4 linked regions of the Kluyveromyces lactis genome follow. The protein of the gene in region 1 purifies or fractionates together with the protein of each later gene. This does not show direct contact. Links are inferred from orthologs where the notes say so. Each region holds a gene or a part of one and is shown in the gene's direction. Other genes may lie near its edges.

The links.
Region 2: the proteins of SEC17 (region 1) and YKT6 purify together in Saccharomyces cerevisiae (affinity purification with western blotting; 5 studies listed by BioGRID, with this or other methods). This does not show direct contact. The link is inferred for Kluyveromyces lactis from reciprocal best matches to the Saccharomyces cerevisiae genes SEC17 and YKT6.
Region 3: the proteins of SEC17 (region 1) and NYV1 purify together in Saccharomyces cerevisiae (affinity purification with western blotting; 4 studies listed by BioGRID, with this or other methods). This does not show direct contact. The link is inferred for Kluyveromyces lactis from reciprocal best matches to the Saccharomyces cerevisiae genes SEC17 and NYV1.
Region 4: the proteins of SEC17 (region 1) and VTI1 purify together in Saccharomyces cerevisiae (affinity purification with western blotting; 5 studies listed by BioGRID, with this or other methods). This does not show direct contact. The link is inferred for Kluyveromyces lactis from reciprocal best matches to the Saccharomyces cerevisiae genes SEC17 and VTI1.

Annotation. Positions count from the first base shown.
Region 1 is NC_006041.1:526,259-534,323, reverse strand, and holds SEC17 (alpha-soluble NSF attachment protein SEC17), read left to right. Parts: upstream 1-3,029; coding exon 3,030-3,059; intron 3,060-3,281; coding exon 3,282-4,130; downstream 4,131-8,065. Other genes in the region: transcription factor IME1, read right to left, coding at 1-102; RPL43B (60S ribosomal protein eL43), read left to right, coding at 1,876-1,877, 2,372-2,648; KLLA0_E05897g (ferric reductase family protein), read left to right, coding at 7,091-8,065. UniProt on the Saccharomyces cerevisiae protein: SNARE complex protein that binds to cis-SNARE complexes on membranes and is required for vesicular transport between the endoplasmic reticulum and the Golgi apparatus and for homotypic vacuole fusion.
Region 2 is NC_006040.1:224,897-232,300, reverse strand, and holds YKT6 (palmitoyltransferase YKT6), read left to right. Parts: upstream 1-3,134; coding exon 3,135-3,737; downstream 3,738-7,404. Other genes in the region: mRNA splicing protein SPP382, read left to right, coding at 1-1,138; MIA40 (Mia40p), read right to left, coding at 1,515-2,735; CYB2 (L-lactate dehydrogenase (cytochrome)), read left to right, coding at 5,050-6,819.
Region 3 is NC_006042.1:1,797,026-1,804,774, reverse strand, and holds NYV1 (Nyv1p), read left to right. Parts: upstream 1-4,508; coding exon 4,509-5,204; downstream 5,205-7,749. Other genes in the region: GIS3 (Gis3p), read left to right, coding at 409-1,767; KLLA0_F19470g (uncharacterized protein), read left to right, coding at 2,570-4,075; DPB4 (DNA polymerase epsilon noncatalytic subunit), read right to left, coding at 5,311-5,961; TRM1 (tRNA (guanine26-N2)-dimethyltransferase), read left to right, coding at 6,533-7,749. UniProt on the Saccharomyces cerevisiae protein: Vacuolar v-SNARE required for docking. Only involved in homotypic vacuole fusion.
Region 4 is NC_006038.1:897,093-904,809, reverse strand, and holds VTI1 (v-SNARE protein VTI1), read left to right. Parts: upstream 1-3,947; coding exon 3,948-4,613; downstream 4,614-7,717. Other genes in the region: HFI1 (Hfi1p), read left to right, coding at 1-154; CIK1 (Cik1p), read right to left, coding at 278-2,119; YAH1 (adrenodoxin), read right to left, coding at 2,744-3,244; KLLA0_B10263g (uncharacterized protein), read right to left, coding at 4,894-7,717. UniProt on the Saccharomyces cerevisiae protein: t-SNARE found in various SNARE complexes involved in multiple transport pathways. The composition of the t-SNARE complexes is specific for a limited number of v-SNAREs and therefore allows only the vesicles carrying the matching v-SNARE to fuse.

The DNA of each region.
Region 1 (8,065 bases):
GAGATCAGAAAGTGCCAATTCACCATGCCATTCCATGTTAACTCCACATTCTTGCAGGTCGTCCAGTTTCAAATAGCTAGAAATATCCAGCTCGCAGTGCATTGTATTGGGTAAAGTATATTAAGCTTCTATGGTAACCAGTTAGTATTTCACTATCAGTTTTTTTTTATGCACGGTAATGAGGCAACCGATAGAAAAAGAAAGACAGACAAGAATATGTCAAAAGCCTCAAAAACGATAGACCTATATATAAGCTTGGTAGATAGCATTCCACTTCAAACTGCATATACTAAAGTTAGATAAAACTAGATTTATCCTAAAATAATTCCCAAATTAACCCTAAATCATGTCATATCGTATCATGCCCAGTTACATCTAGATCCAGAAACAAGGTGGAAACAGGAGTAAAAACAATATTGAGACTGGGATAAACTAATAAAACTAATTAACTAGTTAATTATAATGCAAGAATTTACCAGATAGAACCGTAGCATGAAACAAGGGCGGTATTAACTGTAAAAAAAATAATTTTTTTTTCTGATCTGATTTGATTTAATTTGATTTGCAGTTTAGAGCCAAGATAAGACACGCGAAGTGAAATAAGCGCAGGATAAATTTTGATTTGAAGGGGACAAAAAGCAGCACAGTACTTAAGAGTGACATTTCAGGCGTTTCCGTATGCGGTAACGCAATATAATTAAGACATACCTATAGTATTAGGGAAAAGCACGCGCCTTCCCCGCTCATAAATCTCTGTATGGCGTAGCGGAACTTTACATTGTTTGAACAATTTTTTTATTCCGTTTAGTATAGAGCCTCACCCCTGGGAACATTCTCTACAGTAATGTGCATATTTCAGGGGGAGCTGATCTTACATTGAGACAAGACAAGACAAGATATCGACACAGAATAATAGCACTTTGTCTATTATTCTGTAGGTTGTTTGACTTGTTTGACTACCGTTAACAATTGCTTCCGTTTGACAAGAGACTGGTTTCGGGTTGTCACTGGGTTGAGACGGCACTGACACTTGGTTTTTGCTTTGATCGAGCAGACGTTAATACGGGCAGCACGGAACAATATTACTTTGCTTAGAGTTGTTAGTAGCTGTGAGTGATCTTCTGTTATGTTTTGTATTTGGTACGTCAATACTATATTCTTTCTTTTCGAAAAAAAAAGGGAAGACACATATATCATCTCTTTACCCAAAAGGGTAAAGAGTTGTTACAGTAGTCGTGTTTGAGCGGAGATCTTAAGGATCAAGCTCCCCCCTGGCATTACGGGGATTCGGAGATTACACTGGCGAATTCCATCTTTAACAGCGATATACATTCGTACAGAGTATTATCCTCCAATATTCCGTATACACTGTATTCTATTCTTTTCAATTACCCAAATATAAGGAAGTGTCCAATGGGGGAATCATCGCGATGTCATGAAGATGTGAATGGTAGATTCGGCACTCCAGGATGTTTCTATTCATTTTTTCTATATTTCCGGACTGTTTGGGTGTACGGGTGTAGTAATTTACCCTTACACCCTGTGTATTCTCAGAATTATTTGTATTTTTAGAATATTTCCCTTTTCGGATTTTCACATCCCAACTTTTTCTCTTTTTCTTACAGTTTAACAAAAAATCTACTATCCTCTTTTCGGTCTACGCTTGTTTTAGTGGACAGTGGATCTTTCATCCTCACAGTTTTTTCAATTCTGCAAACTTGACGAGTTTCAAACTCATTTACAATACCAACCAGTTTTCATCTTTAGCAAGTGATTAGAATTTAAAGATTGTATAGGTTGTTAACTACGTTTTATAGTTGTTCATATTCACTCTTATATACCCTCCAGAAACCAAGCAAACACAAAGAAACCAAAATGTATGATACCTAATGCACACCGCGCACAGTTATGGGGCCGAAGAACTCAGTGATCGATATAACAAGTTGAACTATGAACTATGATAGACTAGACGATGAGGATTGAAGAAGACGAAGAAGAAGCAGACTGATACGATACAGGCAGACTGACCTGTTCACTAGGAGATGGAATCAACATAGAAGAAGTGTAGTGACAAATGGGTAACTGGAATTATACCATAAGCACAAGAAACTACAGCTAGATGCAAAATTCCAGTGTGATGATTTATAGTGTCAGCTCCACACGCACGACAGCAGAATAAATGACGATCTATTAGACCTCCTCCCCCAAAAAAACTGTTGTTCCTTTAATTGCAACAATTTTACTAACTTTTATATCTGTGTTATTACCCATTCTACCTGTGGTATCGATTCATTACCACCCATTATGTGAACAAATTGAATCGAACTATTGGAATCGGACGTAATGAATACACAATTCATTTTATATTCAGGGCTAAAAGAACTAAGAAGGTTGGTATCACTGGTAAGTACGGTGTCCGTTACGGTTCCTCTTTGAGAAGACAAGTTAAGAAGTTGGAAGTTCAACAACACGCCACTTATAACTGTTCTTTCTGTGGTAAGACTTGTGTTAAGAGAGGTGCTGCTGGTGTCTGGTCTTGTTCTTCTTGTAACAGAACCATCGCTGGTGGTGCTTACACTTTGTCTACCGCCGCTGCCGCTACCGTCAGATCTACCATCAGAAGATTGAGAGACATGGCTGAAGCTTAAGCTTGTTGCATCGTATAATCATGTTATAAGTATCCTTCAATAAAACGTATCTTTCCACTTTGTGTTATTTTATATTCCATCTACCCTATATAACTGATTTAGGCGTGATGGTCGAGTGTTCATCCTCGCGTCCAGCCAAATACCTTGGACCGGCTCCCAGGCCAGCCTATTTGAAAGTCACGTGAATTAATTACCCGGCTGCTGATAGCCTTCCGTTGTTTCTCCCCTTAAGGAATTTCTTTACTTTCTGATGGTAATTAGAATATGTAACATGTAATGATGATACAATGTTGATAGTTTGATAGTAAAAGTTGTAAGCAAGCTCTTGGTTGACAAAAGTTAACAGCATTCAGCCATATCCCACTCAGGTTTTCTTTGAATATGTCGGATGTTAAAGAAATTATAGCTAAGGTACGTTTTTTCTCCATCATTTATGTTGAAAGGTCAAATCAATAAGTCTAGGAAAGTATGATGACAATGGTTGACCTTATTCTCGCCTGAACCCCTAATACTAACAATAAACATATGCAAACCCTAGCCATAATGTGATGAAAGAGGAAGTGATTTATCATTCGTATTCTCTCTTTTTCACTTAATGGTATGGAAACATATCTCATGTCATTTTTGTAATAGGCCGAAAAGAAGGCTAAACCATCATCAGGATTTTTCAGTTTCCTTAGCGGTTCAGACTCTTACCGTTACGAAGAAGCAGCAGATCTTTATATCGAGGCTGCAAACCTCTATAGGCTAAGAAAGGAGTTGGATCAAGCGGGTGATACTTTCTTGAGGGCAGCAGAGTGTCAAATACAGGCTTCTAATGAAGATGAAGCAGGAAATACGTATATCGAAGCCTACAAGTGTTTCAAGACAGGATCTTCTCCAGCACAAGCTGCTGAGTCCTTAGCCAAGTCGATAGATATTTTCACAAGAAGAGGTCAGTTTAGAAGAGGTGCCAACTTCAAATTCGAATTGGCTGAATTACAAGAACAGCAATTACAGGATTACCCAAGTGCCATTGCCAATTATGAAACAGCTGGTGATTGGTATTTGCAAGACCAAGCTATTGCTCTCTCGAATAAATCCTACATTAAATGCGCCGATTTGAAAGCTTTGAACGGTGATTATTTGGAAGCTACCGAGATCTTAAAGAAAGTCGTTGAAAATTCATTGGGGAATAAATTAAGCCAGTGGTCGCTCAAAGAGTACTTATTGAAGATTGGCCTATGTTACCTTGCTGCTGGTGATGTTGTAGCTGCAGATAAAAGTTTGAACGAATCACAATCGTTGGATCCATCATTCTCTCAATCAAGGGAGTTTGAGTTACTATCAAACGTAATTGAAGCTGTAAGGGAAGGTGATACTGAAAAATTATCGCAAAAGATCTACGAATATGATAGGTTCAATAAGTTAGACCATTGGAAAACAACTATACTCTTGAAGGTGAAAAATACAATCGTCGAGGCGGATGACGATCTACTATAAAATGGTAATATTCAACTCATTCTCTTGTAATTGTATTCTTTTCTCTAACACAACTGTCACTTTTTTGGTGGAATAATTATTTTATAAATGGTGTATACCCATTTGTACAACCACATCGAGTGGTTTGTTTCACGTTAACGTCTTTCATTTCCCATTATCAACTATATCGATGCAAATAAGCTTGCCATCTGGCTTGGACGTTTGGAAATTTTGAAGATGTTAATGGTAACGAAAATGTTTTTTAAGCTTCTGACGAACGGCTCCCTTACCGTTTTGAATAAATATACAATTAAGTAAGAAATGTATCACAATTTTTTACATCTTCTTACGGTAAGAAACAAACCTAATATTTCAGAATGCTGGTACAATTTTTAATGAATATGATGATACTTCCTCAGCAAATCTACTAGATGAGCCTACGCAAAAGGCAGTTGATTGATAATATCACTAGATGAATGAAAACACATCAACTGAGGGGTAACATGATCTCTAAAACGTTCAGATAAGAGGACCCTTTCGCATCTTTCCGTAAAAAAAGTATGCAAGTGTAAGAAAAGAAATCAAAAGAATGAAAACCTCAACAGATGCGTTTCCGTTCTTACTGGATCCTGGAGATTGCGGACTATTACTGATTATCCTGAGCATTCGACGAAATTCAATAAGGACATCTTTCATACAACCGGATTAATTTTGTAAACTACATGGTTTAATATTCATAACGGTATTCCGGAATAATAACCATTTTCAGCAAAATGGATGTGACACAATGCTAAAACGAAAGCGGCTGTTCTTAAATTACTCAAACGATGTGGCGAAGTGCCTGGGAGTCAGTAATGTTGGCATAGTCTTTCTTTTTTTAGAGTACCTAATGATTAAATTCCTTCTAGTATTATGGTTAGAGAAAAAGAAGTTCAATACAGCGGGACATCTTTCCACCAGAACACCAAGAACATGTGGTAACGCAGCATAGATGAGGTGTGAACACAGTATACAAGTAAAACTGATAGCACCTATGGAGCTTCAACAATAGAACCATGAGATGCCACACACCAAATCAAGATCTTAAACGGAGAGGCATAACATTTCTTAATTGGTTATTCCAAACTATATCGAGATGAAGTGTATCTTGATTATTAACTGAGAGTGATGAACATTAGACACAAGGATATATCGAACTATAGCCAGTTGTAAACGGGAAAACAATGCTCATTCTTGGGTCGGATGAACCTTTCATCCCGCTTTGCATCGAAACAACTTTAATTTGAATGGATGCTAGTACGTAAATTGGTCGGTCGAACGCCAACTCTCTATTGACACACGGCAGTGCCGTTTGAATAGCCTAAAAACAGCATAACATCCGTTCGAGATGCGTCAAATGCGCAGTAGATGTAGTCTTCCGTCCTCGAGCAGCATCTCAGTAGCAAAAAAAAAAGAAATGCGGATGAAAAACCAAAAATTTCAAAAAAAAAGAGGGTCGAAAATACAGGAGACGGAAGCGTCTAATTGTGCATACATGGAAATAATGCATGTTTTGTCAGTTCCGCAAATAGCGGATAAAAATAGTATGAACATTGTAGATATATATTGTAGATACAGGGGAGATTGACTGAGAACATCCCGTGAACGTAAGAAATGATAGCAAAGCTTTATACATTCTAGTTGACTACATTGATTAGGGTCCCTTTTGAGACTTTGTCAATTTTCGTTCTAGTTTGATCCGATAATTGTAATCATTTTATGTTTGCTCATTCAGCTCAACGCAAAAGCTCGATTTTAAAGCCAAAGTTACATCGAGGCTAGCTTGGCCCTGATGTAAGACATAATGTTTCCTCTCACGTTACAAATGAATTGTAAGAGCGACGTATTACTGCTTCGCTCATCCAATAGATACCCACAGCTTTTTCTTTTTTTTAACCTTCTTGAATCCTTTTTCTTTTTCAGAACGTTTGTATGTTTGTTTGACAGTTTCAGATAAAAAATGGCATCGGTATGCAGAAAGGTCAAAACTGGGTGTGATTTAAAGTAATCTAAGTAATCGAATTGGGTTAAAGATTCCAATTATGAATAAAAAAGGTTTCCAGCACACTGAGTTCTCTTACTTGTTCTACGTGAGTTATACTCCCTTAAAGCTCGAACAAATCAAAGTTTATGCTGTACCATGGATGCTACGGGGAGATGGCTTAATCCGGACTGTTCTGAGCCTGTTTGATTGATTATTAACATCTAAAAGCCAAGCCTTTATTTTTTAGTTTTATTCATGCATTCGAGAATTCAGTAAAAGGACATAAGATGGGTACGTTGATGTCTGCGAGACTAGGGTCTGCACACCCCCATTTTAATGGTATTTTTGCAATTGAATAAGTTTAATTGTAGTATGAAGAAAGGGCTAGAAGCTTTATCAAACTATTAAACTCTTGGCAGAGATGGGGTTTTCATATCTATTCGATGTTTTCTTTTTTCCTTTCTGTCAGATTCGCACCAGCGAAAGTAATAAACGTAGAAATAAGAACATTCGATACAATAGCAGAGTATCTATGATACGAGGCTAGTGGGGTTAAGGATGATATATCAGGTTACGATAGATCCGCCACTTTTTTCCAAGTTAGAACGGAATGGAAGTAAATCGATATCGTATTCGGACATTTCTTGATATTGCCTGTCAGTAGGGAGCGATATTACAACGTTAGCATTCGCAATTTGAGGGATATCAGATAGGTACGTTAGATTCTTTTGCCAAATTTATTTTATCAGCTTTCCGGTATGGATCTTCGTCATCATCTCGGATTTCTGATATGTATATATAATAGCATCATTCTTGAGAAACTATTTGAGCATTTTGGACCCATCAATGGTTTAATATATGGATTTTAAACTTTTACTGTCTCGTTTTTATCAACTCACCAAGTATAACATCATATTTTTCACCAAGGTAAATCACGAAGGCTCTAGGAACATAATCGATGAGATCCTCCAAACTGCAATTTATTTTGACATTTTTGGTGGTGTTCCTATTAAATGGGGTGTCAGCATCTGTCAAAACTGATCTCTTTACCCCCAGAAGTTCTGCTCTGAAAATCACACAGGCATGTACACAATCATTGGCATCGGTAGCAACATTCTGCACCGCGAAAAAGGCTGCGACATGTTTCTGTAAGAACGTTGATTATGCGGGGTCATACTTTTACTGCGTCTTCCAACACATAGAAGATGACTCGACTAAAAAAGAGTTCATGAACACTGTGAATCAGACATGCAATGGTTACAGTGAAAAGAAGATCCTTGCCGTATACGAAAACGCTACGTCTCATTTGGTAAAGGTAAGTGACGTCCCACACTTTAACAAATCGGTTCCAATCTCGTTCCCTGTGTATTACAGTGAAAAGTTCTATAATAATTACTACGATACCATGGAAAACTTTTATAATAGTTACCATCACTCATTTTATTACGGGGCAGTTCTATCAGCATATTTCCCAGTTATATTTTTCTTTGGTGGTCTTATCCATTGGTTGAAAGTGTTCTTCCCACAGAAAACTAACTCAGTTAGAAGAGCTATGAAAAAGGTATGGATTGTTAGAGTGTTCGAAAAGCATGTTACCATTCCCTCTCTGTTTAACGGAACGCATGCTGCTCCTGAGCCAGTAACTGGTGGACACTATCCGACAAGGTTGCAGTCAATATTTATAACGGCATGGTGGTGCTTGACATTTATCTTCCTTTGTACGAATTATCGTTCACATATTGCAGGCAGTAAAACCTATCCCTCAAAGTCAATATACTTGAGTCGTCTTATCGCTGATAGAGCAGGTATCATGGGAGTTCATTTGATGGTTATAACATTCTTCTTGTCTGGCCGTAATAACATATTTTTATGGTGGACTGGCTGGAAGCAATCTACTTTCTATGCATACCATAAAGCTGTTGCCCGTGCTACT
Region 2 (7,404 bases), on another chromosome or scaffold:
GTTTCTTTCATATAGAATGGAATCTGGATATATTTTGAACGAAACACAAAGCAGCATTTATAGGTTGGTGTATCAACCCTTATGTTATTGGTTAGATTCAAATACCGGATATTCGAGGATGCTACGTCAAATAACCGTTCAGTATTTACCTATTATTGACTTTATTAGCTGCAGGGAACACTTCCTTTCCCGCTACATTATGCCGGCTCTCGAAATACAACTTTCTCCTCAATTTCTGTCAGATGAATTCATGGTGACATACGGCGAGTTGCATCTCATTTTGGGAGAAAGGGATTTAAAGTCATTAAAAGCACTTATCCTGCTGGAGTTCGAGCAGTTTTTGAAAAATTGGGAACCTTCAATGACTGTTAACCCTCAAAACGTTATTCTCTTGAAGGAGGCAGTGGGTGACTCCAAGTTTTATGAATTAGTCAACAGGTATTGGCTTTCATCTTTCGCTGATTACTTCGATTCACACTTTCACCTGATTGACGAATTTACCGATGCAGAGAATGAAATTTACATTTCAGCTATTATTGATGTGTTGAAAGAATATAATGATTTCTTCGATTTGCCAACCAGGAATAAAGTATATAAGGTCATTAACAACTCGCTATTAAAGACCTTATTCCAATGGTTTGTGTTTAAGAGCAGCACCTTCCGTTATGAAGCTTCTTCATGGCTAAAATACATGATTAATAGAATTTACACTGCATCTTCATTAGATAATGTAGAAGAAGTGAAGAAACTTCTTGACTTTGTCGATCATCCGTCAACACTTTCGGACCATGACGAACGGCTTTCCTTGAAAAGTTTAATTGAAAGCACTGGCCAGTCGGAATCCAGGTTCAACGCTTTTAACAATACACCCATGACCAAAATTTCTACCACCTTTAAAACTGTTGTAGAAACTTTTTGTCATGATCATGGATTATCCTTCAGAAAAACTGATAATGATACTGCCTCAATTAATATATTTGGCAAAGAGAAGGTAGCTCCGGTATTCACTGTGAGTAAATATAACAATAAAAGAGTAAATGTAGTCCTTATGGGAGATATTTTATGGTTACAAAGGAGAAACAGAACAGAATCAAGATTTGAGCCAATTTTTCTCTACCAATTACTGGATCTAATTTGAAAACAGAATAAGCATGGCATATCATTAGGAAAATGTCTTTATGTAGTGTTTATACACGCTATCAGAACATTTCATTGGATTTTTGTTCGTTTTCACATTGCCATTATGTCGAATGGAATTGTAGAATGTAATAAGAATGTATGTTAATTTTTTTTTTATTGGACAAAGAAGGCGAGTTCGATGAACAGGTCAGTTCATTACGAGAGCCATGGGCTTTTATTTGAATTGGATATAACACAAACAAGGGAACCACGTAATTTTTTTAATTTCTTTAGCTTTAGTTTTATTATCTTTGTTCAAACGTCAGAATTCATGATGCTCATTGGCAAATTTAAAAAAGTATCTTTAACGGCAGCAGTTCAGGGTCGGGAAGATTCTATTTCTTTTCATCGTCAGTGTTCGTGACAGCGGCAGCTTCAGGAGTATCCTTTAGTTGAGGGTTTTCTTCCACATATTTTTCCAAGACAGGTTCGAAAACGGCATTTTCAGTTTGTACTTCAACAGTAGAGGTGGCAGTTGAAACCGGGGTAGTGCTCTTATCCTCGATTTTTGAAGCTTCTGCAGAAGCTTCTTCTTCATCCTTGATTTGTTCAGCATAATAGTCTGGGTATTTTCTGAAACAATTTTGCATAGTGGAGAACTTCTCAACACAGTTGATACCCTTTGGATCAGCTTCAGAGTAGACAAAACATGAAAAAGCGGACTTAAACTCTTCACCGCAAGGACCGTATGCCATACCACCTAAACAAGGACAATCCCAGTTGATTTCACCAGTTTCTGGGTTGTATGCAGTTTGTTGTTCGTTTTTTTTTTCACCTTGAACACCTGCAGCCGCAGCAGCCGCAGTAGCGGACTGTTCAGCAGTGCCACCGGAGATAGACCGAATTTCAGCTTGCTCTTCTGCTTCTGTTATGGTCTCAGCTTCAGCAGGAGATTTTTCATGCAAAACAACATCCGATTCACCTTCTGAACCGTCTTTTGAGGCGGTTTTTACGGCATCTGGGCTTGTTTGTTGAATCTCCTTTTTGTCAGCTTCATCTTCTAAAACAACACCCTTGGCAGTTTTTGAGTCATCGAAGCTCAAAGAGGGAGCTTTGGTATCCTCGGAAATGCCAGTAACAGGTTCATTGGTGGCTTCTCCACTGGCAGCTGGTTCGGTAGCTTGTTCATTGACGGATTCAGCAACTGGCTCAATGGCAGCTGGCTCATCTCCTGATAAGGTGGCTGCTAAGGCCTGGTGTGTCTCCTCGCTATAAGTAATCTCGTTCTCAGGAGTAGTAACTGGCTCAGCACCTTCCTCCTGAGCAGACACCGGAGATTCATCGGCATCCTTCGTAGGTTCAGAAATAGATTGTGATTGGCCCGCTGCAGGAGTCTCTTCAGCAGGCTTCTCAGCAGGAGCAGGCTTCCTCTCAATCAAAGTAGGACACCCATCAGCAACGTAGATGGCACCAAGAGTACTGAACCCAGCCAACAACAATGCTGGCTTGTTCATATGGCTCACTCCACCGGAAGGTGGATGAGCACTGTAAAACCTAATTTGTCTAGCGGATCTAAAAGCAACACGTCTAGTAGCTTGTAAAGAAACACGGAACATTGTCTTCAAAAAAATATGTATATGCCTATAATCAATTGACTCGTCAGCAACTTTCAAACGTTTTCTAAGTGTACTGTAAAAATACCAAACCTAACTAAAAGCAAATTTCTTTCCTCCCGTTGTGGGTATCAATCAGCTTCTCTTTTAAATGTTCCTTTGACAAATTGAAAATGCCTTTGTTAGCAAAAAAAAGAAAAATTCGAATATCAAACAAAATGGATATTGAAGCATTGTGATATGAGGATGGGAAATGATGATGTATTTTGAAGATAACACGGAGACGAGAAGGACAGTGTTATAGTACACGTATAGGGGATCTAAGAATAGTTAAGTTTGGGCAAAATAGTAGCTTTTTTTCTCATTTGACAAGTGGGAGAAAACAGGATACAGGATACAAGGATGAAGATATATTACATTGGAGTTTTAAGAAACAGCGATGATAAGACCCTTGAATTAAGTTCTGTGAAGGACTTATCACAATTTGGGTTCTTTGAAAGGAACAGTGTTGCACAGTTCATGTCCTTTTTCAGTGAGACTGTTGCTGGCAGGACAAGTGCTGGTCAAAGACAGAGTGTTGAAGAAGGTAACTATGTAGGTCACGTTTACGCAAGGCCTGAAGGAATTTGTGGTGTTTTGATTACGGATAAGGAGTACCCAGTAAGACCAGCTTATACGTTGTTGAACAAAGTATTGGATGAGTATTTGGTAGCGCACCCTCCTATCCAGTGGAAGGACGTGACGGAGAGTGACGATTCGCTCAAGTTGAAGGAGTTGGATATCTATATTGCCAAGTATCAGGACCCATCTCAAGCTGATGCAATAATGCGTGTACAGCAAGAATTAGACGAGACCAAGATCACGCTACACAAAACCATTGAAAACGTATTACAAAGAGGTGAGAAATTGGACAATTTGGTAGACAAGTCCGAATCACTATCTGCTGCATCGAGGATGTTCTATAAGCAAGCAAAGAAAACCAATTCGTGCTGTATAGTTATGTAGACGGATTTGAAATAGAGGCCAAAACATGGCCAGCCTGATCATATATAGCCCTTGCTACGAGTATTAAGCATAATAGTAATCAAAATAAAGTAATAGTAAGGTTTCACCGGCGTTTTGACCGCCACCTTTGATCAGCCTTTCGTTCCTTCCTGTCCACTAGGGTCTGATTTATCTATCATCATCTGGCTGAGTACGGGCAGCGGATCAATTTTGAAAGAAATTTTCTCCAAAAAAAACGACCCCGGAGAGGATTGAACTCTCGATCTTGCGATTAACAGTCGCACGCCTTAACCAGCTTGGCCACGGAGTCTACTTGCTGGACGCTGTCTTTTGTCCAAGATACCATAAGGTCCAAGACCGACCATTGCCTGCTCACCTGATATTACGTTATCTGCCTGTTAAATTCGGAGTACTTACTCACAGCGTTATCCCCCCCAAACACATAATATACAGGAGGTAAACAGCAGCTCCAAAAGTCACTCCGAATCTCGCTTTTCTCAAGCTCATCGTTAGCGTATCGATGGTATAGTTCGGGCCCTGTTTCCTGTTCTCCGACCCACCCTGTCTGCTTTCTCCCCACGCTACAATTTTTTTTTCAGTTCAAAATGCCGTTATGCATGCGCAAACCTCTCGAGACGTCCTTTTTACCGTTTTCCGTGTTCTATGTCAAGCTATGGAACACTTCACTGTTCTATCTACCGTCTGCTACGACTCCCTACGCTATTGCAGGTTTGTTGACCCATCTGACCTTAGATCTCCAACTGTTCGGCTGGCAACTGCGTAGTGAATTTTGCCTACATTGAGGGAATACAGGACCCATAGAGAACATCCAGAAAGCCGAATGAGAATGGGGTTCCCTCATTGCGCGTGGGTTGCGTGCAATTTTTATACCGATATAATTCCAAATATATACCAATTACAGTATGGTTGACGTCCAGTGCGTCAATGAAAATAGCCTTGGGGTACTGTTACTGATCAAGCGTCCTTGGTAATCCGAAGATCCGCTTGTTCCAACTCAATGTGACCCACGAATGTGGAAACTGTTTAGCGTTTTATCCCACACTAGAGAAAGAGGCATTCATTTCTGGAGTTTGCGAAGAGTTGGCCCGATATTTGCTGTTGACGAAAATGACTAGTTCGAGTTTAATGCAGATGTAATAGACAATAGATAACATATATATATATATATATATATATATAAGTAGAGCTATGTCGCAGTTGGGAATTGGTTATAGTGCGGTTGAGGTTAAATTTGTTTGGTATAATCTTTAATCAGAAAACAAAGCCCCTAGGTATCAACATCGTCATTACTATGAGATCAGCCGTAAGAGTTTTTGGTAAGAACCGTGTTAGTGGGTTGAGATTTGCTAGCACCAGTAGTAAATCTCCAATTCATAAGTCTAGTGCTACTCTGCGTTTTGGGAGATCAGCTAAGTCTGGCTATAGTGCGTTTTCGTTCGGTAAGAAAGTCATCACTGGTGGTGCCTTTCTTGTTGCCGGTTCGGTTGGTATTGCATTGATTTCTCAATTCAATGATAGCGTTGAAAATGGTGCCAAGGTCGATATGACGAAACCAAAGGTTTCTCCAACAGAAGTCGCAAAGCACTCTTCTCCCAAAGACTGTTGGGTGGTCATTGAGGGTTACGTATACAATTTGACTGATTTCATCAGCGCCCATCCTGGTGGTCCAGCTATCATTGAGAACAACGCAGGAAAAGATGTGACCAAGATCTTTGCTCCAATTCATGCTCCAGATGTCATCGAAAAATACATTGCTCCAGAGAACAGAATTGGTCCACTAGATGGTACAATGCCTGATGACTTGGTCTGTGCTGCATTGACCCCAGGTGAAACTCCCGAAGATGTGGCAAGAAAGGAACAATTGCGTCAATCTTTACCCGATATTGATTCCTTGGTTAACATCTATGATTTCGAATTCTTGGCATCCCAAATCTTGACTAAGCAAGCTTGGTCTTACTACTCTTCTGCCGCTGATGATGAAGTTACACATAGAGAAAACCACGCTGCATACCATCGTATATTCTTCAAGCCAAGAATCTTGGTTAACGTTAAGGAAGTTGACACTTCCACTACAATGTTAGGTGAAAAAGTCGGTGTTCCATTTTATGTGTCTGCCACCGCATTGTGTAAACTAGGTAACCCCAAGGAAGGTGAAAAGGACATCGCAAGAGGTTGCGGTGAAAGTGACGTGAAACCTGTTCAAATGATTTCCACTTTGGCTTCTTGTTCTTTACAAGAAATCGTGGAAGCAGCCCCATCTAAGGAACAAATCCAATGGTTCCAATTGTATGTGAACAGTGACCGTAAGATCACTGAAGATCTAATCAAGAACGTTGAAAAATTAGGATTAAAGGCCATTTTCGTTACAGTAGATGCTCCTTCCTTAGGTAACAGAGAAAAAGATGCTAAAGTCAAATTTACAAACTCAAACGGTGCCAAGGCTATGGAAAAAAGTAAGGTTAAGGAATCTAAGGGTGCTTCTAGAGCTCTCTCGTCATTCATTGATCCTGCATTAAACTGGGATGATATCATCGAATTTAAGAAAAAGACCAAATTGCCAATCGTCATCAAGGGTGTTCAATGTGTTGAAGATGTCTTGAAAGCTGCTGAAATCGGTGTTGCAGGTGTCGTTCTATCTAACCACGGTGGTAGACAATTGGATTTCTCTAGGGCTCCTATCGAAGTGTTGGCTGAGACTATGCCAGTGCTAAGAGAAAAGAAATTGGATGATAAAATCGAAATTTTCATTGATGGTGGTGTTAGAAGAGGTACCGATATCCTAAAGGCATTGTGTCTTGGTGCCAAGGGTGTCGGTCTAGGTAGACCATTCTTATACTCTAACAGTTGCTACGGTAAAGAAGGTGTCAAGAAAGCCATTGAGCTATTAAAGGACGAATTGGAAATGTCGATGAGATTACTCGGTGTCACAAGTATAGACCAATTATCCGAAAAATACCTAGATCTATCTACAATCCATGGTAGAACTGTCAATGTTCCTCGCGATAACCTATACCGTGAGGTATATGTCCCACATGAACCAACTCAATTCTTAGAGGAATGAAAAGAGCAATCTCACTTTTGCCATTCGAACCCATAAAGACTCATATTATTTAATGAACGTTTCTTTAATGATAATTTATAAATGAATATTCCAACATATATTATATAAACTAAATCGCGCCAGAATAGATAAAACAAATATCACGCAGGTATTTACGAAAAAGTAAAACAATGTCCACTTATTTATTACGATTGGCGAATCAATACGCAGTTATACAATTCCCGTTGACATTCAATTCAAATTACGACGATACACAACAATAAATCAATTTCAGTCATGTTTAGAGTCCTATTTCAAACCGCAGGAATTGTTTTAATTTGTTATTTTAGTTTGATAATACATATATCCAAAAACCACATACAAGATATTCCTTGCAGATATTGATACATATTTTGTGTGTAGAATATGATTCGATTGCAGAAGGCATGACATCAGAATGTGCACTTTCCTTTCAAGCAGATGTCTTATGGCATCTGATATGACTCGTAGTAATCATTTCGAGAAATCACAAACTGAAAAAGCTGTCATCTTTTTGGAATGATAACCTTACTTTGTTGTAGTCAGGTACGTAGGAACTATGAGAAA
Region 3 (7,749 bases), on another chromosome or scaffold:
TGCACATTCCGTTTGAGATTTTCAATCACATGACTGCAAATCCCTTTTCCGGTCAACAATTGCGGTCTTTCCTAAAAAGTCATTAAATTCCCGAAAAAGCTGACAACAGCGATTTCTTTTTCAGTCAAGCTGCCATCCGTCATCAATTGCCCGAAGGCATCTTCCATAATTAGAGAGTGCTTATTTATATGAAACGATGGATATATAACATAAGAAGGTGTAAACGGGATCCTAATTACTGTCCAGGACGCGTATATCATCACCTACCAGGTTAATGCTACAAAAGGCTACATAACTAAAACCTTATAAATCAGTTCCGTGTTTGTATTTGAAGGATTAGAGCAGAGGTCATCAAAACAAGCAGCAGGCAGCGGAAAGAAAACTTATCAATTAGAGAAAGTAAAGAGTATGGGGCTGTTAGTACTGAACACGATGACGAATCCTGGCCCAATGCCTATATTGAATCATATAAAATCTAAGGCTAGAATATTTGAACCGACGACAAAATATTCAAGGCACAAGCTGAAACAAGATCTCAAGGCGCTGGGTAATGTCAATGAATATGAGGTTAATTCAAACCAGAGAACCTTCTCTAGTCCAGTTTCGGTGTCTCCTTCGTCTACACCCGATGCATCATCTCTAACCCCTTCTTTGTCAAGTGTTCTTTGTCAGATAAAGAAAAGAAGCAAAGACCGCAGAAATACAGGATCCACCGTATCTTCAACGGATTCGCTACGGAGCATATTATCATCAAATTCGAGTCCCTATGGTACGAGTGCAGATAATGTGTTTTCAGATGTAGGTTCTAAAGATGACAAAACACTATATGGAGTAACTGACCGGAACCATCCATTGAGCCATGTCGACAGCGATACGGAAACATCGCAACGACGCGTGCAGAAGATAAGTGACCCTCAGAGCACTGGATATGAAGTTTTGCCTCATACTAAGATGTATAATTTGAACGATTTGGATTTCACAGAATCTTTTTCAGAGAAGGACATTCTACAACCAATTACACCAATCTACGAAAGACCCAAAAACAAACGCATGGATATCGATCCAATATTTACCAATACATCAGATGAAAGCTCAGAACAAGAGCATAAACGTCACAGGAAATTCAAACCGATCTTTTTACAAGAACAAGTTGTAGAGATGGAGCACTGGCCCAACTCTTCACAGCAACAGCATCTACAAACTAATAGCATGGAATCCATCACATTGGATCCCATAACGCAAAAGAGAACTCGCCAACAGACGCTAAATCCATCCTTTTTACGACTGTATGCATTAGAAACTAGTATGAAACAGAAAAATTTATTGCCTGACCTCAACTTAGATGAGTCCATTCTACAACGGCTTTCAATCCAAGAAATTTCTCAGTTGAACATTCCAGCAGATCCATCCAACAGGATATCACCACATCAAATCAAATTAGCACTAATAACAAGAAAGAAGCTTTGGTCAGACATGTGCCAGGTTACGAGGACAGATCTTCACGGTGAGCATGCACCAGCAAACTTGAAATTCGTCAAGGCAACAACTGTACGTGATTCTTCTTCATCAGATATCGAAGAAGATGAAAATACAAAGGAAACTACGTCACTCGTGAGATTGAACTCCGAGGTGAAACCTTGGTCACAACCAGAAATGTCACAACCAACTATGTTCAAACCATGTGGCAGAATTTCCCTTGGAAAAAACGCTAATTCCAAGGAGATTCAATACGTGGTGAAAGGTTGGTGTGACTGTAGATTTGCATGAACTCGAGCTGATAATATGCAACATAGATAAACAAAAAAAAAACAACAAAAAAAAGCATTTACCTTCCTATCACCGATACCATTATACAACCATATATGCATATATAGATATAGACATAGATATTTATTCTTCCCACCACTTCACTTTCCTATTCGAGATGTACTCGAGCAACTTATCAATTAATAATGATGCTATGACTTTAGTACCCAATGTATTAGGAACTTACGATCTTTTATGGATTAATAAGACACAGTAGGTCCCTCATGTCCACAAAAACCATCACATGATAACTACAGTATCTCTAAGATCTCATCTAGATATTGATCAGATAACACCATCTTCTAAAGCTTCAACACACACCCCACACAGTTCTAGCAGTGAGTTGGTTCACGGTGTCTATATGCAGTGATTTTAGTCACGTGATAAAGCCACAACGGATTTTTAAACTACTTGATTCAGCCAAAGTCCGTTCATCGAATGAAAAAACATGATGGTCTAAAGAGCATAAACGTATATAACAAGAGATTGGGATGAGATAAATCTAGCAGCTTCAATCAAGGAACTCCCCTATATCGATATATCGGAGACAGATTTCGAAAGTTTCCTAACATTATAATTAACTGCCAAACTCATCCTTTCAGATCGCAGTATCCAGTTTTAAAAAAAGTGGCACTTACAATACATAGGCTACAAGCCAATTAAATACAATTTCTGACCAGGCAGCTGAGAAATTGTCAACCTTCCAAAGATTAACACTGGATTTACGAAAGTCTGTTACGAGGGCGCGCAATCACTATAAAAAATGAGACCTACTCAAATTAGATTAATAAAAGTGAATCCTGATAAAATTCGCCGCGTTGCAGTCATCGGAGCTGGTCCAGTTGGATCAGGTTTAACAAAAGCCTTGCTGAATGAGAAACATTTCGAATCTGTCAAAGTTTTTGAGAAGAGATCCAATTTTGGTGGTCTATGGAACTATACAAAACCTTTACTGAAGGACTCTAATGTCACATCGTCGCCGTCTGTTCCTTGTGAATACCCTCACATTAGAATTCAACCTCAACCACACCCTGAAGAAACACATGTGTTCCAAACAGCAGTTTATAAATATCTAGATACCAATGTTCCTAAGACATTGATGGAGTACAAAGGTCACAGATTTCCAACAGACACCCCATTATTCCCTGTGAGAGAACAAGTGCTTGATTATATTATGAAATATTCCAAACCCATTGAAAAATATGTTACTTTCAACTCAGAAATTGTGAAAGTTTCTTACGAAGACGCAACAGCTGAATATTCTGTCAAAGCTCAGAACCTTCTCAGTAAGGAAATTACAGAGGAGAAGTTCGATGCCGTTGCCGTTGCTACTGGATTTTATGATCTACCATTTATTCCTTCAAGACCAGGTTTAAAAGAATGGAACGTGAAATACCCATGCTCCGTTTCCCATGCCAAGGATTTTGACTGTCCAGAAGATTTCCATGGTGTAGAAGGGGAGATTTTGATTGTTGGTAACAGTGCTTCTGGTGCAGACTTAGCATTTGAATTGGCTAACGAACTACAGAAGCCTATTTATAAGTCGAAGAGATCCGAATCCAAATTACCGGCCCCATTCGATCCTTTCATTAAAGATGTGCCTGATATTAGAGAGTTTAATCCGTCAACAAAATCGATTACCTTCGTTGACGGCACCGAATTAAAGAATGTGGAAAAAGTGATTTTCTGTACTGGTTACTTAAAGTCCCTACCATTTTTACCACAGAATGAATCTGGTGTCGGAAATTCCATTCTCAACAACTTAATTGGTGATGGTAGACGAGTACAAAACCTGTACAACCATATTCTTCCAATATCATTGCCAACATTCGGTATTATTGGCCTACCAAGGTTTGTTCTTCCTACAAGACTATCCGAGACCCAAGGTGCTTGGTTGAGCAGAGTATGGTCAGGAAGAATCCAACTTCCATCGGAGGAACTTCAACAGAAGTACCATGATTGGTTCATCGAGAAAAGTGGCGATGGAAGTAAGTATCATGATTTGGCATTCCCATGGGACGTCCAATACTCTCAACGATTAAATCGTGAGATTAGACATGCTGGTAATGGTGGTTATTTTGGTGTTGAATGGAAAGGAGATCAGATTAGAGCTAGGTCAGCCATCAACGCTATAAAAGAAGGATATGTCGCTTATTACAAAGCTACCGGTACAAAGGCCAAAACTCTGGATGAACTTTTGGAAAGTGGGTATCTCAAATGGCCAGAAGATTCTAAGTCCTGCGTACAAATTCCAACCTTTGTACCATAAGTTATCGAGGGTAAGTATAGTTCAATTATACTAATATCACAAAGGAACTTACGCATACATATTTGTCATTGGAATATGTCATTATCGACATTATCTTTGATAGATTTATAGACATGTCAAATAGATATAAATATGAATAATTCTGTACTTCAAAAGTGAATTAGGTATCAGCAGCTTCAATCAAAAATGAGAAGACTATTAAGTTATCACAACTATACCGTAGGCTTCAGCTGACATTTTTTCTTCTTTCTGCCGGAGGTAGAGATTTTGTCTCGGTTCTGATTCTGTTATGATATCCTTTGGAGAATGTTGAAAATATGAAAACTGACAAATTTCCATGTTTACCAGCTACATCTGGTAGAAGGGTTGCAAGGAAACTGTGAAAGGACTCTCAGGATTAATTGCCTGTTAGTAGTGGTGAATTATTACAACAATGAAGCGGTATAGTGTGTCATATGTTGAAGTTTGGGATGGAGATCGAGTTCTTTCTAGCTGGTACGACTCCAAGGACGAAAACAATAGTAAATATGGAAGCACTGATAAAGGGAGAGCCGATCAAAAAGCAGTGTTTCACAGGTTAATCGGCGATATGGTAATACGAACAGTGGTGAATCTTCCGGGAAACAAAGTTACAAAGACGTCTATCGACCTTATAGAGGGGTATGATTGCTATTATACAACTGCAGAGAACAATAAAGTGCTCATTTGTTTTGTTAAAGAAGAAGTCCCCAAATTCCTACCGTTGAGGTTATTATCAGAACTAAAATGTTTGAATAATGACAACGATGAATATTTGAAGAGTAATATCGATAATCAATTGGACAAATTCCATGAAGAATTATTATCTTATCGCACGGAAGGACAGCAGACAGCTGCATCCACTGAGGAAGAGCTACAAAACATTATTGCAATAATGAATGATAATATCGATAAGTTTTTACAGAGACAGGAAAGGATATCCCTGCTTGTGGATAATACTAATCAATTGAACGAAAATAGTTTTAAATTTCAAAGGAAATCCTCTAAGATTATGAGAAAAATGTGGTGGAATAACGTTAAGTTTTATTCCATTGTCATTATAGTTGTACTGGCGATTATTGTGATTGTGTCGTTATTATTACTACATTAGTTCTATTTTTTTTAAGTATAGGTAACCCATGAGCACACGAAAACGGTATAATTGTTTATAGTACTTATACTTCTTGCCACCTCTTCTCCACAAATCGATTATACGATCATTCCGTCTTCTGTTTTTTTGTGCTTAAATCCAGGTCGTTCTGGCGCGTGCTAGGTACTTGTTCTTGGTTGACTGGAGGCCCATCTAATTTATCATTTTCAGCGTTACCTTGTTGAACCTCAGTATCAGCTCTGGATTTAGGCTCGGCGTCAGCATCTGCGCCTTCTCTGCCATCGTCATCTTCATCATCTTCATCATCTTCCATTGCTATGTCTCCGTCCGCACCAGGCACAGCATTATTGACTTTATTTTGCTTCTTCCAAAGTATGGCTTCCTGGTACTCCTGCATCTTTCCCGTGAGTATGCTCTCCAAAGCACCTAGCCCCAACGTATCTAAAGCAGCCATGATATCCTGATCATTACAACTCTTTCTATTAGAATCCTTTGCGTTCATTCTAGCAAACATTAATAAGTGATTGACAAAGACTGTCGCTGACCTCTGCATTGCCAATGCAGCATCCTTACTAACCGTGATTCTTCTCTCTTCTTCGCCCTTTTGAAACGCGTTCTGAAGTGATTCCTTCGCTAGAGATGTGATTATGCTTTTAGGAAATAGTAAATCATCAATACTGATCTTTTCTTGTTCTTTTATATAAGACGTATTAGGATAATTTCCTTCAGAATCCTTTCTCCAACCTTTTGGTGGCATACCCGCGCTTGTTTGCCTCTTAGAGTTTTGTGAATTCTTTCATTTGATGGTTCTTATTTTCTTGAATCATTAGTGGTAATAAATCTTAATGCAAACGCACAAATTTCACTATAAGCATAATGATATTACTTCCACCAAGAGAACAGTAATGAAAGCTAAAAAAAAGTAGATAGAAGTAGTAACAGCTAATAGTCTGCTTCGAACTAGTCATCATATCCTCGATTAATATCGATACTGAACCATGTGTACCATATGCATTTCGTCTTGAGGTACTTAATCGTACGTGCCAAATAAACAATAGAAAGATTAAATCACGTGACATAGATTCCCATACTTTTTACATCTTTACAGCCTAGTTTCCAACTTTTCAATTTTTTCAGTCATGGGCATCGCATCTCATCACATCTCTTCTCGCAGAAATCAACTTAAGATAAGATATATAGCTTGATCCTCAGGCCTAGTAAATAATCGCTGAGGTGTGTGTCAAAGGCCAAGTAAGCGTTTTCAGCTGGTTTGTTTTAGGAGGGAAAGCAAAACCATATAAAGAAAAGTAAGAATTTAAACTTGCAATATGCTCAGGGCTGCCTTTCAAAGTTTGAAGTCAAAATTTGGCAGAAAAGTAACGTTGGATAGCTCAACGATCGATGTTTCTCAGTTCAAGGTGGTGCAAGAGGGTGATGCTAAGATATTATTTCCTAACAAGGAAACTGTGTTCTATAATCCAATCCAGCAGTTCAATAGAGATTTGAGTGTCACTTGTATCAAAGCATGGGATGAACTGTATCAAGAGGAACAACGTGAAAGCCGTGAACTGAAGAGCAAGAACAAGAAAAGGAAACCCATAGAGAGCAATGAAGATGGTTCCGATTACGATACTATCAAAAGGCGTAAATTAAACGAAGATCAAGACTCTGTAGCTGTGTCTTCAAAAGATCATTCTACCAGGCCGTACATCAAAATTTTGGAAGCATTGAGTGCAACCGGGCTACGTGCTATAAGATATTCTAAGGAGGTTCCTAATGTGAAGACTATTGTAGCCAACGATTTACTACCAGAGGCAGTGGAATCCATAAAGAGAAATGTCATCTATAATGAGGTCTCGGATAAAGTTGTACCCAATTTGGATGATGCAAATGTGCTGATGTACAGAAACAAAAGCAAAAATGAGAAATACCATGTAATTGATTTGGATCCATATGGTACCGTTACTCCTTTCGTCGATGCATCAATGCAATCCATCGAAGATGGTGGATTGATGCTGGTTACATGTACAGATCTATCGGTCTTGGCTGGTAACGGATACCCCGAAAAATGTTTTGCATTGTACAGTGGTGTTAATATGGCAGGTCACGATGCTACTCATGAAAGTGCATTGAGGCTAGTTTTAAACCTTTTAGGACAATCAGCTGCAAAGTATAAAAAGACTATTGAACCACTTCTTTCGTTAAGTATCGATTTCTACGTCAGAGTTTTCATTAGAGTCAAAACAAGCCCAATTGAAGTCAAAAACTTGCAGTCGAATACCATGGTCGGATATATGTGTTCTGGCTGTAATGCTTACCACACACAGCCTCTAGGCAGACAACAAGAAAGGACAACTAAGAAGGGGGTCAAATTCACCAAATTCTCCTTGGCACAAGGTCCACCAGTTGATAGGAATTGTTCATACTGCGGGAGCGTCCATCACATCGTTGGGCCAATGTACGGCGGTCCATTGCATAACAAAAAATTCATTGATCGTGTATTGAGAATTAATAAAGAAGAACATAAGGATGATATTTATGGTAC
Region 4 (7,717 bases), on another chromosome or scaffold:
AAATGACGATGAGATCGTTCATTTCAAAAGTCCTGTCGATGATCTATTTCATTATAAACGGGAAAAGCCTAACTTCACTCCCCTTGACGAAAAGAATATGGGAAGCCGGGAAGAGCTTAACTGGCTAATTAAAGATATTCTTACAAAGAAATAATGACTAACAGTATTGCGAATATTCTCAATTGAAGGAGCCAAAAGTCACTCTTCTGATTGATTTAATCGAACAATTTCCACGCTTTCATTTTTTTGTAGAATTTATAGACAGGGAATATGACTACTATTTCGGATTTGGTAGTTTATGTAAAGTTTGTGATAATTGTAATAATGAGGAATCTGGTGTATCAAAATTGAATATTATTAAGGATTCAAGTCTTAATAATAACGATTGCAAGAAGGTCGAGACTGGGCTGACAGCCGTCTTTGTGATATCAATCGCATTCATTTTCTGAATTTCCTTAGTAGGTGCTTGGATGAAAAATATGCTTTCAAAATCATCTTCTTTATCGAAGACTTCAAATTTCATAACATGAATTCCTCTGAAATCGGGAAGTATAAAATTATTCACTTCTTCAATCGGTAGTCTTTTAGAATGGAAATCAATACATTTTTCGTCAATGACAGCGGATAAATCAGAATCCTCAGAATTTAATAAATCCTTCGAAAGGTCACTGTCGTTCAATACAACCATCTGAACAAGAACTTTGGATTTCAAAAATCGTTCATTTATCGTTCGTAGGAAATCTTTCCTCAAATCATCGTTTATTGATATAATATTACAACTTTTCTTACTCTTTAAGCACGAATCGACGAAGGTGAAGCATTCATTATTGAAAAGGTTTGAAGGTGATACTAAGTCTCTCGGAAGAATTCTGCTAAAGTAAAACACATCTGTATCTCCGATAATACATTTGTTCATATAGTCTACTGCATAGTCATTAAGTTCGTCGTAATTAAGATATGCAAAACAACGAATGTGACCATCCAACTCATCTATTGTGTTTTCCAGGATTCTTCTTTGCGATTGCTCTTGTTCCATTCTATCATAATTTTTATTGTATTCCGCTTCTGCTAATTTAGCTTTGGCTTTAACTTCATCAGTGGTATCTTTCTCTGATTTATATCTCAATTGAAGTTGGTTAAGTTTCTCCTCTACCGGCTCCAATGAAGCTTCTAACGTTTGTAGCTCCAATCTTTTATTTTTAATAATTTCTTGTAAGGAAAGTTCAGTATCAACACTATTTCGAATTTTATCTCGTAGTGCTTCCTGAGTTGCCTTCAGATCATTTATCTTAATCTTTAGTTTTTTGTTTTCTTCTATGGATGCTATCAGCGGTTCCTTTTTATCTTCTTTGAACTTTTCCAATCGTAATTTTAATTCATTCTCATATGATTGAATTTGTTCATGGTTTTTACGTTTCAAATCTTTTAAATCATTCTCTATGATCGCTTTATCTGTGCTTAACTCTTCGATTTCTTTAAGGACAGCCGGATCAGGTTTAGTTTGTTTTAATTTTTGTAACTCAAGTTCCCAGATGTGTCTTTTATCAGATATTTTCAGCTGCCATTGATTTATCACTTCTTGTATATTTATAGAATGCTCTAAATTCAAGTTGTTAGTTATCAGCTCATGGTTTTTCTTCTTTAGCTCACAATCGTTCTTCAACTGATATAATTGTTCCTGCATCACCATGGTCTCTTGTTTCAAGTGCTTGAAAATGATGGATCTTTTGTTCAAATTGTATTTGAGCTGCGGGATAACCTCAGAAGTAAGGGATTCCAACCGAGAATCCGTTTCCTCAATCTGTTTAGTAAACAAGTGAATATCTTTTAAAGCTTTTCTCTCTCTTTTCTTAACCTCCTCAATAACGTTGGGATCCCCATAAAAATATTTGTTCAATAGTCTCATATTCGTACTTTGACTCTTCGTTTGATATGAAGGAGCAAATTGCTCCTTCTTCGAACCGCTACTGTTAGCTACTGTCGTTGTTCCTGTAGTGGTCACCATATTCGTTATATTTGCTAGCACAGGATGATGCTTCTTCTGTCCAGACACAGAACCTGAAGAAAACGGCTTCTGCCGTTTTCTTGAATTTATAGATGGAATTCGAGTCTCATTCATAACAAAAGGTCACTGTTCATCAATAGCATTGACTTGACAAGCTCTGATCAGGATTGTCGCCGCAATCGTAATATAATGCCTACCTTAAAATCAGGTAATTGAATAAAAAGAAGAAAATTAAGGCGCCCGTTATCTCGGTAGTTACAGTAACAAACGCACGGCCCAATTTGAAATCAGTGATACACAGGTGAGACACACCTGAAACCGAACCCAAAACCTGTTCTGAACAACTGTTGATGTTTCAAGCTTTTCTCATACAGTCTATTTGTTTATGTTTACAAAAAAAGCGATGAATACGTAAAATGTCATTTGAAAGTCACGTGGACAACAAATATATCTTTTCTTTATGTGAAAGACGATATGGTAACCGGGTAACAGTAAAATACCTTTAACTATGTATGTATTGTGCATAGATAGCACCGGTACACAGCGTGGGGAAACTTTTACTGATGCATGATAAATAATAATAATGATAATGGACTGCGAACGAGCTTGGTTGATTGCTCCTATTTACAGGTAATGCAACTGGTGTCACTCATGTCATGCTTCCCCTGTTGGGAAAAAAAGAAAGATCTAAAGCTGTCTCTTTTCATATGATGACTGAATTCAGTTTAGTCATTCTCTCTATTCGAAGTCTGAAGATGAAACATTTCTTGTCATTGAAGGAAGAGCGACTCTGATACCATCGATATCCTTATTCATTTTAATGCAACATCCCAATCTACTTGTCTCAGTTAACCCGTAAGCCAAATCCAACATATCATTTTCATCATCGTCAGGTTCTTCTAATGCGTCGTAATAGTCTGGGTCCACAATCACGTGACAGGTCGAACAAGCACAAGAACCACCACAGGCACCCTCCATATCTAGATTATGGCCTTGAGCTATATCCAAGAGAGAGTCCCCTTCTGCCACTTCAAAAGTCTTTTGTGTTCCATCCTTCAATATGAATGTCACATGCAACTCTTCTCCCGGTTTCGGTTTATGTAAATGTCCATGGTATCTCTTCCATGACAAATTTGTACGGGCTAACCATATGTTGTGAGAGATGCTAGGAGAAGTAATGCTTCTGGCTCTTAACTGGTTCAGATGCCCAGCTTGTCTAGTCAATATTCCTCTGATCATTGATTATACAGGAGTTTTTCCAAATAGATATGGATGATTAAAAATAATTCACAAACAACAACGATAAGTGTTACTAAAAGGAAACCAAAGACCCTTTCCGTCTGCTATACCACAATGAGAAAAAAAGCTGTCCTGAACTTTTATCAACTCTGATTCTTAAGTAGCTTTTATTTGGCAAAAAAAGGTTGCTTTATATCTAGTTCTCCCTTCAGTTCACATCGAAATTGGCAAATGCTTATTGTTAATCATTCAATTATTGAATCTCATCGGATTTTTCCCAATTTGTCAGTGTTCATGAAAACGCCGGTATGAAATGAAACCAAAGACAAAAAAAACAGACCGTTTCTGGGCCTGATTCCACCTCGGTCTTCCGCGGATTTGGCGGATGTGGTTCAAAATGATTGTTTGCCCTTATCTAGATACTGGTCTTTACATGACTCAATCAAAGTCACGTGAACAATGTATTTTTCTTTCTTTTTCTTTCTATTCCCTTTATTGAAGCTTCTCCCATGAGTTCAAGTTAATGTTAGGAATCAACGAAAAGCAGGCCTGGTGATTAAGCTGTTATAGCTGGTAACGGGGCCTACTTCAGACGTACATTGGCCTGCAAGTTTACATTCAAACCTTAAATTTCCTTTAGGTTGTGAAATTCGGGAAGAGATAATATAAAAAGGAAGGTTCTGAACCATATTATTTTATCAGGATGTCCTCATTATTGCAGAACTATGAATCTGAATGTCAAGTCGCTATAAACCAGGCGAAGGTTTTGCTTGCTAATGCTAAGAATGATGCCGGTGCTGTTTTAAAAGGTGGAAAATCGGATATACTTTTACAAATTCAACAGTACCATGATGAATCTTTAGAATTAGTGGATCAAATGGAAATAGAGTTGAATAATACAGGGAACTCGTTGGATTCTAAGACAAGGGCATCTTATAAAGCAAAGATCAGAGATTATAAGAGACAGTGTCAGAATGAAATTAAGGATCCTTTAAAGCAATTGGTGCAAGAAAGCGATAGGAATAAGTTACTTGAAGGTCGCCACTTCGATAATGATGAACAAAGGCAACAGCTTTTATCGAACCATGCGCTTTTACAACGTTCTGGTGATAAATTACAGGATGCTACAAGACTGGCATCCGAGACTGAGAACGTTGGTGCACAGATAATGATGGATTTGAGATCTCAAAGAGAAACATTGGAGAATGCAAGACAAACTTTGTTCCATGCTGATTCGTACGTCGACAAGAGTATTCGCACTTTGAAAACCATGACTAGAAGACTCATAGCCAATAAGTTCATTTCTTACGCAATAATAGCGGTTTTGATACTACTTATCTTGTTAGTGATATTCTCCAAATTCAAATAGTAATCGATTTCTCTGCGTCTTTTAGTTCAGTCTCAATGCAAGTTTAAGCAGAATAGCTATAGTAATGAATTTATATAATTTTAATTTTGACCCTTGTGGTATAATTTTATACTCTCATGAGAAGAATACAATTTACCGTGTATAAATGATATCTGATTTTGAATACTTATCTAGTTGTATATAAAATAAGAACGATATAAGAAATAATAATAATAAAAATAATAATGATAATGATAGTAATAGTGATGGAAAAAGGCCGGTCAGAATAGCATAGCGCTGTTCATGGAAGACATTCTAATTCATCTTCATCAGCTGAATTGATAGTGGTATGAGATAGACGCCTCCTTAATTCATTTACTAGACGTGATTCTTCTTCGGCTAACTGGTTCTGTTTCAGTTTCTCGAAGGTCACACCTTCTTCATCGTCTTCTTCGCTACTGATGATGCTTCCGGAGCGCTGAGCAAGTTTTGCAGATTCACGTCTTGTGCTACCAATACAATGTAGATATTTCTCCTCTTCTGTCAACTCAAGTTGCGTAGCTGTTAAGTTAATTAACGACTTGGAACTCTTACGCCTTGCAATTTTACGTGGCATGTTAGGCTTTAATTCGTTTAACAATGAATCGACTTGAGTTTTGTCTAAATTGGACAGAGTGACAGATGATCTAGGAGTTCTAGGCAACCTGACACATGATAAACCTGTGTCATGAATCCATTTAGCCACTAGCGCAGTCCAGCCACACTGATGGCTTGCACCCAAGCCCCTACCAGTATCACCGTCGAAATATTCATAGAAAGGAATTAGTTCCTCGAAATTAGGATCCTTAGACAAAAACTCACTGTATTCACCATGATATACAGCTCTTTGGCCTTCGGCATCGGGGATGAATAAATGAATTAATCTATGCTGAAGTTCTTCTGCCACTTGGGCCAAGTTTAGGAACTCGCCAGACCCCGTTGGACACTCGACTTTGAAGTCAGGACCATAGTACAAAAAAAACCTTTGCAATGACTCGACAAGCAAGAAATTTGTAGGGAACCAAACAGGCCCTCTCCAATTGGAGTTACCACCAAACATACCTGAGTTTGATTCACCTGGTAAATATTTGACTTCGTATTGTTCACCGTTAACGGACATAGAGAATGGGTGGGTTTCATGGTATTTAGATAGAGATCTTATACCGTAATCGGATAAGAACTCAGTTTCATCGAGCATCCTAGATAAGATGGCTTTTAACCGATCTTCATTAACAAGAGCTAATAGAAGTCTCTCACCGATACCTCTTTTTTCCATAGAAGCAATATTTCTATCAAACATGGCACTTCTATTGGAAAGGAACCAGTCAATACGTTTCTTAAAGCCAGGGAACTTATCTAAGATTCTCGGTTCCAAAGTCATACAAGCATACAATGGAATTAAACCAACGAGAGACCTGATTGGTAGTTGTTGCTTAAATGGTTCACCCCAAGAAATGGCATCGTAATAGAATTGGTCTTCTTCATTCCACAAACTTTCTTTGACTTCCTCTTTGAAGTTGTCTGCACTATTCTTTTCGAATTTGAAGGACATAGAATCACTGATGTACAAAAAGTGTTCGAAAAACTTAGTGGCAATGTCTTCATAGACAGGATTTTCCTTTGCAAGTTCTAATGCGATATTTAACATTTGCAATGAGAAGAATGCCATCCAACCAGTCGAGTCTGCCTGTTCCAATGTTCCACCTGTTGGCAAAGGTTCTGATCTATTGAAGATACCAATATTATCCAATCCTAAAAATCCACCTTCAAAGACGTTGTTACCGTCATGATCTTTGCGGTTAACCCACCATGTGAAGTTCAACAAAAGTTTTTGGAATACTCTTTCCAAGAACACTCTATCCTCACGGCCATACATATTTCTTTCAATCTTGAAAACACGGTACACAGCCCATGCATGAACTGGAGGATTTACATCACTAAAATTCCATTCATAAGCAGGAATTTGTCCGTTAGGATGCATGTACCATTCTCTCGTAAAAATATCCAATTGTTTCTTTGCAAATTCAGGGTCTATCATAGCTAATGGGATACAATGAAACGCGGTGTCCCAAGAAGCAAAGAATGGATATTCCCACTTATCTGGCAAGGATAATATATCTTCAGCATACATATGTTTCCAATCCTTGTTTCTCCCATTTGCACGGTTCTTTGGTGGAGGAGGCTTTTGCAGTGGATCACCGCAGTACCATTCGTCTTGCACGAAATGATAGAATTGTTTTGACCAAAGCAATCCGGCAAAAGCTTGTCTTTGCACCGCTCTCAGAGATTCTGGGATCGGAGCCGGAGTGACTCTCCAGTAGAAGTTATCCGCTTCCTGTTCACGCCTATCGAAAAGACTGTCAAAGTCATCTTCGTCGATAACCATTTCATCTTCGAACATCGGTAACCTGGTATCAGTCAACTTATATCTTACAGTGACGTATTCACCAGGGGGAACCTTGGGAAAGTGGTAAACACCACATGCCTTGGTACCTTCATTCTTCGGATTTACTGCCTCGGTATCCTTATTGACGATATATTCGTTGAAGGCATCCTTGGTATAAGGGGTGGGGTTTTCCTTTGAATCAAACAATTTCTTCCAATTCGATTCGTTTTCTGTGAACAACAACTCCGGTTCCACATCTAGGATACCTTGATCGTCATCAACACCATTAGTAGCAACTGTAGTCGGATGATCATCTTCTCCGTCGTCAAACTCACCCGGTGAAGGGGCAAAAATCGCGTAAGTGGTCCCATATTTCTCTGTGGACAAAGTAACAAAGTTATTACCAGATTTCTCTAGATGAGGCTTAACACGATCGGTTTCGTTCCAGGACCAAGTATTTCTGAAAAACACTTGTGGTGAAATATATAATTCCCCTGTCTTCGAGGTACTACGATTATAAGCTGTGATTCTAAAACTCAAATCGTTAGGATTATCGTCATCCTTGGCCATTTCATACACGATATCGAAATATGGGGTATCTCCAGTGTCCTTTTCCTTAAACAAACCATCGATTTCGTAAATCTCGAATTCTTGATCTTCGAATCCCAATTCCGAATTCCTAGCTACCAATTCCTCATAG